Linked DNA regions of Elephas maximus indicus. The protein of the gene in region 2 interacts with the protein of the main gene of each other region in a biochemical or structural test. Links are inferred from orthologs where the notes say so. Each region holds a gene or a part of one and is shown on either strand. Other genes may lie near its edges.

Region 1 (7,437 bases), on a different chromosome or scaffold from region 2:
TGGAAGCAGACGGAGCAAACCTACTGGCAGGCCACACCTTTCCGGGCTGTTGCCCAGCCTGGTCTGCAGCTCAAGGTCCCCAGTTGCCCAGACTCCCCCACCCAGAACCCCTTCCAAAGTTTCCCCTCTAACTCTAGGACCGCCCCCACAGCCTGACTGGGAACCCCTTTACTCAGACACTTGGCCTGGAGGTCTGCTGTCTGAGGCACCGGAACCTTCTCCTGATCACGCTCTTTCCCCAACTACACTTACCACCTGTTTTCGCCCCTTACTCTGATTCCTGTAGTTGACCCATTGGCTTTGTCATTGCCCCCCAGGCAGTGACATCAGTGTCTGGGCCAGGCGAACACCTCCGGAATGCCCTGTGGCATACCGGCCACACCGCTGATCAGGTACGGCTGCTGTGGACTGACCCACGAAATGTGGGCTGGCGTGACAAGACCTCCTACCGCTGGCAGCTGCTGCACCGGCCTCAAGTTGGCTACATCCGGTGAGGGGAGGGGCTGAGCTCTCCTAGGGGACCCCAGGCCTGGTCTTTCTTTCCCCTTTAGCTGAGACTCACCGGTGACTCCTCTTTCCTCAATTCCTTGGTACCACGGGCCAGGACTGGGCTACTTCTATCATCCCTCTCACCACAGACATGCCACCTTGGCTCTGCTTTCCTCCTACCATCAGGCAGCAGGGGCTCTGGCTGGTCAGGCTGCAGGGGCTCTGGCTGGTGCTGCCAAGGACTTATGTGCAATGTTGGGCAAGTCCCTCCTCCTCTGGGCCCCATTTCCCCTCAGTAAAATAAGGGTGTTAGGCTAGATGGCCTGAATGATTATCTGGGATTCTCCAAACCCCAAACATGCCTCATTAAGTCTGACCTGGAAGGGTTCATCATTTACAGAAGAACAAACCCAGGCCCAGACTTCACAGCTCTGAGTAGCAACAGCTGAGGCCTCTCAATTCAGCACTTTGTCCATAACTTTACATTTTCCTCAGACAAATGCCCCCACTTGGTGGGGAGCTGGGGCTGCTAACTGCAGAAAGCCACTGACAAGCAAAGGAGGGGAAATGGGTCTGACTGGAGGTGGACTTTCTAAGGCCAAGAACCCAGAGTCCAGGGATCTGGGTTAGTTCCCCTTTAAGGTGCCTGGGGCTGTGGGGGGCCAGAGCAGGGGATAAGGGAGGGGTGGACTAGAGCCTGGGAAGCGGGTGACTTCACCCCCCAGCCCATTGTGCTCATCGTCATGGCAACCCAATCCTCGCTTGAAATGCGGCTGGTGCTTTGAGATGCAAAGGGGGCTGGACAAAGAGCCAGGGGCCCCAGGCCTGAGAAAAGCACCCCCTTCCCTCCCCTTTCCTTTCTCCCTCCCCCTCCCTCCCTTCTCTCTGCAGCCTGGTGAATTCAAGGGGGACTGGGGGTGAGCAGGACCAGGGCATGGTGGCACAGTGACCACTGGCATCCCAGCACCAATGGACCCCCTTTCCTGGACAGGGTGAAGCTTTATGAGGGTCCCCAGCTAGTGGCAGATTCTGGGGTGATCATTGACACATCCATGCGAGGGGGGCGTCTTGGTGTATTCTGCTTCTCCCAAGAAAACATCATTTGGTCCAATCTCCAGTATCGATGCAATGGTGAGGCACTAGACCAAGATCCACCTGACCCCTCATGCCCTTGTGAGAGAGCCACATCTTCTGACCTTACTCATTTCCCCTTCCTCAGACACAGTGCCAGAGGACTTTGAGCCATTCCGGAGGCAGCTGCTCCAGGAAAGGGTGTGAGGAGGTGGCCACCGGATTCAGAATCCTGATTTTAGACCCTTTGGCCTCGGGGTCCATCCTGGAGACCCTAGGGTCTAATCTGCAGCCCCTCAGCCAAACACAGACCCTCCTTTGGCACCCACCAGGAGTTCAGCCCCATAGGGGTTGGGGATGGGACATTTTCAAGGGGTATTTCTCAGGCACTCACCCCAGAAAAGGTAACACCCCAGGAAAGATAACAGCACATTGCCATAAAGTTCCAGTTGTTTTCTAACCTAGTGCAATTGCTTATTTTAGGGATTTGCCGGGATAGGTCGGGGAGCAGGAAGGAACCTGAAGGGGAGAAGGGAAGAAGCTTGGTAGGACAAAAGTTAAGAGATCTAGGGGAAATTTGGCAGAGTTTGGGGCGCAGGTGGGGAAGGCGCCGGATGGGGTTAGGTGAAGGATGAGATGCTGCTCGGAGGATGCCTACAGCCCTCCCCACCCTACTTACTCACGGCGGCAGCGGCAACACTCCAGTCTGTCTTAGATAGCCGGGGTCGAAGCCAGGAGAGCGGAAGCTGCCCCGCTGAGGTAAGGGGGAGGCCGGGGGGCCGGGGGGGCCGGAGGCCGGGACGAGTGCAATATTGGCGGGGGAAAGAACAACACTGCACCGCGTCCCGTCCCTCCCGCCCGCCCGGGGCCCGGGATCCCGCTCCCCACCGTCTGAAGCCGGACCGGCCTGAGAAACGGGGGTGGGCTGGGAGTTGGGTTCCCCTTGAAGGCCAGAGAGATTTGGAGCCTGGAGTAGGGTAAAAGGAACGGGAAAGGGGATGAAAAAAAGACCACGAGACCCCGGAAGGCCGCTTTCTGATGCCCGGGCGTTGCGCGCGCTTGCTCTTTAAATACTCAGACTGCGCGGCGCAGACTTGTCGCCATGGTAACGCGTGTCCCAGCAACCGAACTGAATGGCTGTTGCCTGGCAACGGCGGGGTTGGCGCTTGGGGCCGCCCACCTAGATCCTCGTGCTGTCTGTAGCCGGCGGTGGGGGGGCGTCCCCGCCTCTCCGGCCCGGGCGCGCTGACGTCAGCCGCTCCCCCTGCCCCGCACCCGCCCCCGGGTCTCGCGGCCGCACAAAGCGGCGCAAACCAGGCCGAGCAGCGTGCGGGCGGCAACGGTGGTCCCGTGCTTACTGGCCCGGCTTCCCTTCAATCCTGCGCCGCACCGAGGTGTTTTTGAAGTATTATTTTTCAATCTGTACTCCTTGGGGATAAAAATGTCTTCCTAATACAGACGTAACTACTTTTATCAGCCTTAGACCGCAACTCGGGACCACCGAACGGGGTCTGATACCCTGAGCTCCACGTGCCGCAGTGGCTTGATACCTCTCTGCCCCCCCCCAAATTATTTCTGCCTTTCAAAATACCTCTCGGTCCTCCCAAATTACGCACCCTCACATACAACTCTGCCCCCCACCAAGTGCCTGCCTTCCCCAAATACCAATCTAGTCTCCAAGTTAGTTCTGTCCCCCAAAATGCCTTCACATACCATTCCGTCGCCCCACCTACTCTTCGCTTCAAATACGTAACTGCCCCTACATATTTCTGTCCCATTCCCCCTCCCACATTGCGATGTCGTCTCCCAAGTTACTCGGTGCCCCTTTCACAAACCTCAAGACCCCACCCACTTACCGCCATTTCTTCCAGACACTGCCCCACGCGCCCCAGAGTCCCCTTCCTGAAGCGCCCAGCCCCTCCATCGCACAGCACTTTCCTTCTCTGCCCCTGGCATTGACCCTTCCGTCGGGGCCCTGCCTTCTGCAGCTCTCTCCAAGCCCCTCTCAGGCAGCACAGCCCAACCTCCTCTCCCCGGACCGGGCCAGTCTCTCAGCCCGCCCGGGACAGCCCCGCGAGGCTCGCGTGACCACTAGAGGGCAGGAGAGCGGGGCCAGCAATGCTGGCCGTCCGCGCTGGCAGGTGGAAGGTGGAAGGCTGGGAAGGAAAGACCCTAGGGTTCAGCGGAGCCCAGGTTTCGTCCTTCTTTACGTGGAAATTTCTTTCCCCGCCCCCTGTTACGGAGAAAGCCAAGCAGAGAGCCAGGATGCTGGAAAGTCTGGCCGGGGCGGGGACTACAGGTTTCGGGGTAAAACCGCGTGTGGAACAGGACAGGACAGGGAGCGGTTAGAGGGGTGGGGCTATTCCGGGAAGTGGTAGGGGGGAGGGAGTCCACAACTAGTAGTCAGTCCACTAATTATTAAACCCTTTTTATTTTTTTTCTCAGTTCTCAGAGTGGACCCAGTAAGAGTGGGGATATGAGAGTGGAGGGTTTAGGGGTGGGCTTCTGAGCCTTGCTGTCTAGGACCTTGACTTAGCCCATTTTCTCTGTTTCCTTCTCTCACCCTAGCTGTTGTTCTGGACCCAAAACTGGAGCCATGGGGACCCAGGTCCCAGACTCCCTCCTTCCCATCTCCTGCGGCTAGGGAGTGGTTGGCAAAAGGGGGAGGCCAGTTGGAGAGCAAACAAGTTGTCCAGAGGGTTGAGTGATTGGAGCCAGTGTACCTGAGGGGCCAGGAGTAGTTGGGGAGGAGGAGGAAGAGGTAAGAGGTAGGAAAAGGGGGAGGAGGTGGTAGTTTGTTACCTGTCACCTGCTCCTGCTGGGCCTAGGCGGGGCGGGGGACCGGTATAAAGCAGCAGGCAGGCACCTGTGCCCGCTCCACCTCACCTCACACACAAGCAGTGCCTGCCTGAGTCTGCTCTGCCCCCTCCCCAGCCAGTTCACCACCACCATGACACCAGTCATCCAGTCCCATTTCTTCCTCCTGCTGTTACTCCCAGTGCTTACAGGTGAGGGGTACAAGGTGGGGAGGGGGGTTGTCTTGATCATGCCATTTCCTGATGTTTCTGTGGGCTTTGCTTCCTGGCAGATAGTACCATGAGAGGCAGGAGTTGTAGACAGGGGTGGCCCAGTCTGAACCAGAATGAAGGGGAGAAGACGAGGCTAGGCTGAAAAGAGGCGGCCCCCAGGAAAGCCGGTGTCAGGCACAGGTGAATGTCCTGGAGAGAAGTCTTGGGGGGAAGGGAAGTCAGGAGAGGTAAGTCATGGGAGTGGAGAAATGCACAAGCTGGGAGCAAAGGGGCACTGAAGGGAGAGGGAGGCTGCTGGCAGGAAGAGCCAACCCAGGGGCTGCCTGGCCAGCGGCCCACTCCCCAAATCCTCCTGGCATTACTTCTCCAGTTGCCAGAGGTTGTATTTTCTTCTTGCTCTGATTTGTCCTCCAATTCCAACCCTGTGGCCTCAATTTCTTACACCTGCCACCACCCCCACTTCCGTAACGGTTCTTACAATCTCTGGCTCCACAGCTCTCGAACAGAGCGGAAGTCCAACCCACTCTGGCACCTCAACCCAGACCACCAGCCCTGCCTCCGGCTCTATTACCACTTCAGTTCACCATGGCACCTCCACCCTGGTCACCAGCCCTGCCTCAGGCTCAACCACTCCAGCCCTCAGCAGCACCTCCACCTCGACCACCAGCCGTGTCTCCAGCTCAGCCATCCCTCCAGTCAGCAATGTCACCTCTGCCACAGCCACCAGCCCTGCCTCTGGCTCTATTACCACTTCAGTTCACCATGGCACCTCCACCCTGGTCGCCAGCACTGCCTCAGGCTCAACCACTCCAGCCCTCAGCAGCACCTCCACCTCGGCCACCAGCCGTGTCTCCAGCTCAGCCATCCCTCCAGTCAGCAATGTCACCTCTGCCACAGCCACCAGCCCTGCCTCCAGCTCTATTACCACTTCAGTTCACCATGGCACCTCCACCCTGGTCACCAGCACTGCCTCAGGCTCAACCACTCCAGCCCTCAGCAGCACCTCCACCTCGGCCACCAGCCGTGTCTCCAGCTCAGCCATCCCTCCAGTCAGCAATGTCACCTCTGCCACAGCCACCAGCCCTGCCTCCGGCTCTATTACCACTTCAGTTCACCATGGCACCTCCACCCTGGTCACCAGCACTGCCTCAGGCTCAACCACTCCAGCCCTCAGCAGCACCTCCACCTCGGCCACCAGCCGTGTCTCCAGCTCAGCCATCCCTCCAGTCAGCAATATCACCTCTGCCACAGCCACCAGCCCTGCCTTAGGCTCTGTTGCTACTTCAGTTCACCATGGCACCTCCACCCTGGTCACCAGCCCTGCCTCAGGCTCAATCACTCCAGCCCTCAGTAGTACCTCCATCTCAGCCACCAGCCGTGTCTCCAGCTCAGCCATCCCTCCAGTCAGCAATGTCACCTCCGCCACAGCCACCAGCCCTGCCTCCGGCTCTATTACCACTTCAGTTCACCATGGCACCTCCACCCTGGTCACCAGCCCTGCCTCAGGCTCAACCACTCCAGCCCTCAGCAGCGCCTCCACCTCGGCCACCAGCCGTGTCTCCAGCTCAGCCATCCCTCCAGTCAGCAATGTCACCTCTGTCACAGCCACCAGCCCTGCCTCAGGCTCTATTGCTACTTCAGTTCACCATGGCACCTCCACCCTGGTCACCAGCCCTGCCTCAGGCTCAACTACCACTCCAGTTCAACATGGCACTTCCACCAAGGATATGACCCCAGGTGGCAAGAGTACTCAACCCCCAGTTTCCAGCCAGCACTCTGATATTCCCACCACCCCTACCAGCCAGAGCTCCAGAACTAATGCCAGTAGCACTACCCGTAGCATAGTTTCTCCTACCTCCTCCAATCATAGCACTTCTTCCCAGTTATCTATTAGGGTCTCCTTTTTCTTCCTCTCTTTTCGCATTTTGAACCTTCAGTTTAACTCGTCCCTGGAAGACCCCAGCACGAACTACTACCAAGAGCTGCAGAGAAACATTTCTAATTTGGTGAGTATTTGCCTTTCCTCCACCATGCTGCCTTGAAGCGGCCAGTACTCAAACCTCTAGCATCAAGCCTAAGTCCTTTCCCACTCACCTCAGTTTTCACAGATCTATGGAAAGGATTATCTGGGCCTCTCTAATATCAAGTTCAGGTATAGTGCTGGGCAGTGGACTCCGTGTGGGAGAGGGTGGGTGGATGTTGGCACGTCTGTGGGGATGGACTGGTGCATTCGTGGTTGTGGTTGGGAAGCATGTGCTGAGGCAGAGTTGCCCATCTCCCTGTGACCAGTCCAGGATCTGTCATGGTGGAATCAACTCTCACCTTCCGAGAGGGTACCACCAATGCTGACAACGTGGAGATGCAGCTTGGTCAGCATGCAACAGAAGCAGCCAGATATAACCTGATCATTTCAAGAATCAGTGGTGAGGCCACTTCCCCAGCTGCAGCCCAGCGTCACACCAGGGGCCCTCTCCTCCAGCACCTGGGTTCTGACTCTTCCCTTCTGAGCTGGTGAGGGAAGGGTTGCCCCCTTTGGGAGACTGCCCTGACCACTACTTTTCTTTCTAGCGCATGAGGTGCCTTTCTCTTCCTCTGCCCCACCTGGGTCTGGGGTACCAGGCTGGGGCATTGCCCTACTGGTGCTGGTCTGTGTCCTGGTTGCACTGGCCATCACCTATCTCATTGCCCTGGTAAGTGCTGTTTCTGGCCCTGACCGAGTTGCCCTGCCAGAGGGAGTCCCATGGTCCACCAAAACACCCTCTCTCCCCAGGCTGTGTGTCAGTGCCGCCAAAAGAGCTGCGGGCAGCTGGACATCTTTCCAACCCGGGATGCCTACCACCCTATGAGC
Region 2 (7,231 bases):
CTGTAATCAGTCTGGAAGTGAACGTCTCACACCGCTTTATAAGCAGACTTCATCCTCATGGCTTTTCTCTGAAGAAACAGTAGCAAAAACAAGCGAATATTTCTCCCAAAGAGGTCTTCTTTGGTGGTGGTGTTAGCTGCTGTCCAGTCAGCCCCCGACTCAGGGAGATCCTGAGCACAGTGGACCTGATGGGCTGCAGATCAGACTGTTGTGATCCATAGGGTTAGAGTGCCAGACCTTTTTTCCTAGTTCATCTTAGTCTGGAAGCTCCACCGAAACCAGTCTGGCATCCTAGCTATTCGCCAGCCTCCACTGACAGATGGGTGGTGGCTGCACATGAGATGTACAGGACAAGAATCAAACTCAGGTGTCCAGCATAAAAGACAAGCATTCCACCACCGAACCACCAATGCCTCAGACCCAGGGAGTCCTAGAAGCTCAGAAATAAAGCAAGGCCTCTGTACTCCAAGTATATGGACAAATGATTTTTCATTGCACTCCTCCAAACATTCTTCCCTCAAACCACCCATTCCTATCCCTACCTCTGCTGCTTTTTAAAAAAGACTTAAAATTTTTTTTTACAGTAATTTTAGGTTTACAGAAAAATTGCACAGAAAGTACAGTACAGAGTTCCTCTATATCTTCCCTCAAGCCCCTGCACACAGTTTCTCCTATTACCAACATCATGAATTGGTTTGGTACATTTGTTACAATCGATGAAGCAATATCAAAACCTTGTTAGTAACAATGTATCAGTGGTCCATAGTTTACATTAGGGTTCACCCATTGTGTTACAGAGTTCCCTGGGTTTTGACGAATGTCATGTATCCACCATTACAGTATCATTTGTAATGTAAGTGTGGATAAAGCCTTTTCATGGGATCCTCTCTTTCTACACCAAGCTTTATCCGAGTTTGTTTTTAAATGGTGATAGCACATGGCCTCCTGGTTGATGGGGTTACTTCAAATATTGCGGCCAACATCGGTGACATGGAGGTTATGACTGCTACTGTGCTACTTGGGTGATGGCTTCAGTAGAGACTGGAGTGAGGAAATGTGAACACTCACCATCAATGCAGAAACTCAGGGAAGATTCAGCTGGCTGAAGATCAGTGTGCCCTGGACATGCAGACACAAGCAATCTTTGGTTTGACCTTGTTCTGCATCTCACTCTATCTCTTAGGAAAGCTGTAGCCTAAGCTGCAACTGCTACCCCAGAAACAACCAAAGCCCTAGCAAACAATGAAATAAAAAAGAGAATGGGGCTGCTGCCACTGGAATGTCTGAATCCTGTATTTGGGGCTCTGGTGACACAGCGGTTAGGTGTTTGGCTGCTAACCAAAAGGCTGGCAACTCAAATCCACCAGCTGCTCCTTGGAAACCTTATGGAGTAGTTGTACTCTGTCCTGTAGGGTCACTATGAGTCAGAATTGACATGACGACAACGCGTTTAGTTTTTTTTTTTTCCCTAGTCCCAGAAGAATGTTTTGATATGAAGTATGATGTTTATGAAGAATACGCAAAATAGAATGATGATGTTTTGTTGAGGATTTTTGCCTGTGGAAACTTAATTTTCAGACCGAGATATTTCAAAACAAAAAAGGCAAAACCAAAACTATGACTGTTCTTTTGACTAAGCTGTAAAAGTAGAGAGCTCACTTTAAGTTTTCAACATCATGTACCAATAATTATTGGTAATAATAATTAATTAACCTTTCAGGGACTTTGCTTATTAGGACAGGCATCTATTTGCTTGACTGTACATTATCCATATTGATGACTTCCTCTAATAAGTGGAATACTTTGAGATATTTTCCATGGGTAGCATTCTTGCTGTGTCCCTAGTTAATCCTGAAAGCATCTTAGGATATAACAGCATTTTCCTGCAGATATAACCAATCTGAGATTTTTTTTTTCCTCTGACCTTCATCATTTAACTCTGAAATCATGGATTTGGGTTCACTATGAATACAGCCCTACCATGCACGAGCCATTACAGTAGGTGCTGTATATCCTTTTCTCACTTCAATGCAAGAGCAATGCTGACAGAGAGATATCATTATCTCCACCATAAACCCAAACAAATCGCCATTGAGTCGATTCCGATCTCATGGCAACCCCGTGGTGTGTCGGAGTAGAAATGTGCTCCATAGGGTTTTTAATGGCTGGTTTTGCAGAAGCAGATTTCCAGGCCTTTCTTCCAAGGCACTTCTAGGTGAACTCAAAGCTCCAAACTTTCAGTTATTAGCTGAGCACAGGAACCACGTGCATCACCTGGGGACGCCATCCCCACCATACAAGTGAGGAAAGTGAGGATGGAAAACTGACCCAAGACTCAGTGTTTACTGTTTATAGCTGAGCTATCAACATCAGCCTGTCTGATCGCAAAACATCTCTGCCTCAGCATCCTGCCTCCCAGAATTACTAACCTCAAAATTGAGTTCTGTAATTTCACCTCTAGCTGAATGTATTTTTTATTTTTAAGTTTGGGAATGTCTATGTGAAAGAAAAATTTTGTGTTCTTTTGTTTTGTTTTTACTGCATCATTTTCAGGCTTAAGAATCACATGCATATCAGTCTTTGTTCCAGTTTATTTGAAAGGAAGGGAAACTGTGCAACTAACTTTGGGGACAGCCAGAACAGCGTGGCATTTAAGGAGTTGTCCTAAGCAGGTGCTCTCGTCTCTAAACCCACAGCATCATGGGTTACAGGAGAGAAGCAGCATGAGCTCCACCACCAGCATACCAGGAAGGAAGAATCTGTACACTTAGTTTGCTAATATTAATCTAAGAATCAAAGCTTCTGAACTGCCCTCTTTGTAACGTAGTGAACAGAACCTGACAGTGAAAAGCAATGCCTTTGCAATATGCTGAAGATGATTTGTTACGATGAGTGATCAACTAATCTACTTATAGAAATCTTGGCTTTATACTTTGTTTCCTTAGAACCAAGGTTTGTCAGGTGCAGGCTGACTGTTCTCCTTAGCACGAATTCGATACTACCTCCTACTACCTCCTAGCCCTGTCTCTCCTCTGCTGACGCCAACTTGCCAGAGCATGCTTCACACAAAATCTTTCTTTGTATTAAAAAAAAAAAAAAAAGCACTGCAAAAGTCTGGAAAGTATAGGAGGCAAGACAATGTCACAGCAATATGACCAGAGAACTAATTCTCCAGTTACCAACTCTCTGAGTTTTAAGACAGGGCTTGTAATTTTCAGAAGCCAAACTAGATTGTGGTTATTTACAAATGTTCCTTATACTTATGAGATGAGAACAACTCCTGCTGAGAAGCAAAAGTCTCTCCAAATTGAGGGAAAAGCGCTCAATTGCAAAAAAGAAGCAAGAAAGGACTACAGCATAACCTATAGGGTAACTTCTCCAGACGCCCACGGCCCAAGGAGACATTTTTAGTGCCTTATACAGTTATCTCATCTGCACTGTATCCCCCCTCCCTAGGTTGTTTTATATATACCAAAAATCAAACCCGTTGCCGTTGAGCCAATTCCAACTCATAGCGACCCTGTTGGGCCAAGCAGAATTGCCCCATAGGGTTTCCAAGGTGCGCCTGGTGGATTCGAACTGCCGATCTTTGGTTAGCAGCTGTAGCACGTAATCACTACGCCACCCAAACCAAAAACCAAACCCAGTGCCATCGAGTTGATTCCGACTCATAGTGACCCTACAGGACCCAGTAAAACTGCCCCACAGAGTTTCCAAGGAGCGCCTGGTGGATTCGAACTGCCGGCCTTTTGGTTAGCAGTTAACCGCTATGCCACCAGGGTTTCCACTATGCCACCAGGGTTTCCTAAATATATATATAGATGTAGGTATATAGATATATCATAAAATTTGCTACTTAACCATTTTTAAGTGCAAAAGTCAATGGCATTCATTATATTCACAATGCTGTGCATCCATCACCATTATTTGCCTTGAATTTTTTTTTCATCATCCCAAACAGAAACTCAGTACCCTTTCAGCAATAACTCCTCATCCCCCTTCTGCCTCCCCTAAAGAGAGATCTATTTAGGTCTCTATGCATTTGCCTATTCTAGATATTTCATATAAGCAGGATCATATTTGTCCTTTTGTGTCTGACTTGTAGAATGTTCTCAAGGTTCATTCGTGTGTGGGACATATCAGGACTTCATTTCTGTTCATGGTGAAATCCCATTCCATGGTGTGGATTACCACATTTTGTTTATGCTTTCAGCTGTTGATGGATGCTTGAGTTGTTTCCACCTTCTGGCTATTGGGAATAGCGTTACAGTGTACAAGTATCTGGTTGCGTCCCTGTTTTCATTGCTTTTGGGTATACACCCAGGAGTGGAATTGCTGCACATTGTGTTTTAATCATGTAGTCATTAAGAGGAAAATTACGTTAGAAACAGTATGTAACTTTCTGGAATAGTTCATCTTTTTCATAACAGGGAGAGACGCCAAGAATCCCTGAGCTAGAAAGGAAGGCTGGAGCAAAAAGGTCTTAGCAGCAGAGGGTAGTCTGGGAATGACAGAGGCCATATGACTCAGATTTGTTTAGTAAAAGAAATTCCACTTACTGTACTGTTCCTCAGTGCCTTCAGCACTGCTGTCTGTATCAAAAGCCTGTGGGTACAAAGGTGACGTGAAAAACAAAAACACGCTCACTTTTCTCTTGGGGAACAATGCTGCATGTCCCCTAATTCCCCCAACACCGTCTGGTCTCTATCTTGCTCTGCTGACCTCCTCTCTGGCTTTATTCATAGACCTCTCCTTGGCCAGAGTTAACATGTTTGCGGTATGATTCACTGTGCCATGATTCCAGGCTCTTTTCTGTCCCTTTTGCAGCAGGAACCTTTTAATGAATATTCTCAAAAATGGGAAACAGGCTGTCAGTCTTTAATGACTTTCCTGTTCTTGCTTTATATGTGTCATCTTAAAATACAACTGATCTTTTTAAGGATACAAATGTGTTTGTTATCACCCAGACAGTTCTAGTGAGTAAATTACTCTTCCGGAATAATAAATGAGAGGCTTTTGAAAGTGCATTAACTGTTTAGATTCACCCAGCTCCGATCAACTGCTCAGGGAATTTCCACCCGGCTCGTGAGTCACCAGCAAAGGTTGCTGGTCCACTCCTCTCCTCCTTAGGGAGTGATTTAATAAGTCCATCTAAGTGTTTACACATTAAAATCCAGAGTGCAGCAAGAATCTCCAGTCACAGTAAGAAATTCCAGAGTTACATTTCTGAGAAAGTAGCAAGAAAATTCCGAATCTAACCCTCCCATTTATCAAGGAACCAAAAAATGTCCTCTTCCAGATACTTCACACTGACTTCTGTATGCCCCGAGAGTGCTTATTTGAAGAGATATGCCTTCTAATTTAATTACATTTTATCTGGAGCATGATGCATAGTTGAACCTTTCCATGGGGATGCAAGTGGTCACGCTGACCAGCAATACTGAGCCACATCAACCTCTTGGGCTACTGGTCAGCGAAACCAAACCAGGTGCCGCTGAGTTGATTCCGACTCATAACGGCCCCATGTATAGCTGAGTATAACTGCCCCATAGGGTTTTCTTGGCTGTAATTTTTTTATTCAAGCAGATCATCAGGCCTTATCTTCCACAGCACCGCTGGGTGGGTTTGAACTGCCAACTTTTCAATTAGCAGTCGAGCGCAAACCATTCACGCCACCCAGGGACCTCTTGGGCAATTGGTACACGGGGGTTATTCGCACTTCTGAGCTGGTGATGCTGTGTGTATCTGGTTAGTTTCAAGACGGCTGCATCTCAGAAAAGGGAGAATAACTTCTGCGTTTGCTGATGGTAAAATACTTTGAGAGGATCTCATGGGAAGGGAACTTTTTCCATAACTGTAGGTTTAGCATTTGCTTAAAAAATAATTTTTTTGTTCATTACAGCTCCTCCCCCACACCTGGTCTTTTAATCTTAAACACACACGCCACCCCTCCACAATTCTACTGCCGTCCAGGGAATACTGTATCGTTCCAATCGCATCAGCACATATGGTTCCATCTCAATTATGGACCAAAGTAAACTAAAGGCCTGGAACTTAATGACTTCACCAGGGAAGAGGTTTCAAACAAGATCAAGGAGGAAGCGTGGGGGAGAGAAAATCTGCCAAACAGCAGAAAGGGATGGAAATGAGAGGAGGAATCGTGGCCAGTTGAAGGAGGCCAGCTTGCTTGCTTCCGGGCATAGATTTCTTAATTTTTCTTATTGTTTGAAACTTGACCCCTTCTGCTCTTTCCATTGGACCTTAAGTGAAGAGAAGGGAGATGCAACGTGGTGTCTGAGGAGCAAAGAGACTTTGGCAGCTTACAGGGCTGGGTTTGTGGTTTGGCTCGGTGAGTTTGGAGAAATTACTCAACTTCTCTGATCCTTGTTTCCTTACCTTTAAAAAAGGAGCCAAGATGCCTCTCTTTTTTGTTAATTTTAAGCACTAAAATGAGGCAATGATGGGCATAACGGGCAGTTCTGGGCATGAGCCAAGCATTCACCACGGGGTTGGATTCATATTGTATAAGCAAGAAAGGGTTCCATAAAGTTTGGGCTAAAAGCACATTTTCAAGTTGAGCAAAGCATTCCATTTTAAGTAGCTCTTCAAAGATGCCCCAAGACAGTCTCTGACATTTCCAAAGAAATTCTCTTGGGAAAGCAAAACAGGCAACTGGAATGCAGAACCACCACCACCACCACCTCCGTGGTAAAAATGCTAACAATGAATATGCAGCAATATGTGGTTGGCTCTGCCTGCTTCTCAGATATGATCCTACAGGCATGAATGCAATGAGAGCAAATACAACGAAATCATACTTAGAAACCTATGCACACCTTTTCATGCAGATAAGCAGTGAAGAAAGAGAAAAAATATGTTCATTCAAGCAATAGGTAATAAATGATAATTTATTTAATTGAATTGAATTTTTCTGCAAAGTATTTCTAGGCTGTGGTTTTACTCTAAGGGTTAAGAAAGGGGGTACGTGGGCTGTGGAATCCTGAATTTCTCTACTGTTCAATTTTTTCATGCCTGTGTATTATTCCAATTTTAATTTCTATGCTGCTAAAGCAAAAACTCCTGGGCCACAAATGCAAGTGATAAAGCTGCTGCTGTGAGTTGAAAATCCACTCTCCGTCACCCAACGCCAACAATCTACCCAAATCACCTGCTACTTCTTTAAAGTCTAATTTTCATACAGAAATAAAGTTTTCTTTTTCTAGAAAGTCTG

What was found.
Region 1: of the proteins of EGFR (region 2) and MUC1, one has a biochemical effect on the other in vitro, tested with the Homo sapiens proteins (2 studies listed by BioGRID). The link is inferred for Elephas maximus indicus from reciprocal best matches to the Homo sapiens genes EGFR and MUC1.

What each region holds. Positions count from the first base shown.
Region 1 is NC_064821.1:193,099,390-193,106,826, reverse strand, and holds the start of MUC1 (mucin-1), read left to right. Parts: upstream 1-4,429; 5' UTR 4,430-4,510; coding exon 4,511-4,568; intron 4,569-5,084; coding exon 5,085-6,595; intron 6,596-6,688; coding exon 6,689-6,741; intron 6,742-6,878; coding exon 6,879-7,012; intron 7,013-7,157; coding exon 7,158-7,279; intron 7,280-7,359; coding exon 7,360-7,437. Other genes in the region: THBS3 (thrombospondin-3), read left to right, coding at 1-75, 318-490, 1,481-1,620, 1,709-1,767. UniProt on the Homo sapiens protein: The alpha subunit has cell adhesive properties. Can act both as an adhesion and an anti-adhesion protein. May provide a protective layer on epithelial cells against bacterial and enzyme attack.
Region 2 is NC_064826.1:107,230,775-107,238,005, forward strand, and holds the start of EGFR (epidermal growth factor receptor), read right to left. Parts: upstream 3,003-7,231; 5' UTR 1-3,002. UniProt on the Homo sapiens protein: Receptor tyrosine kinase binding ligands of the EGF family and activating several signaling cascades to convert extracellular cues into appropriate cellular responses.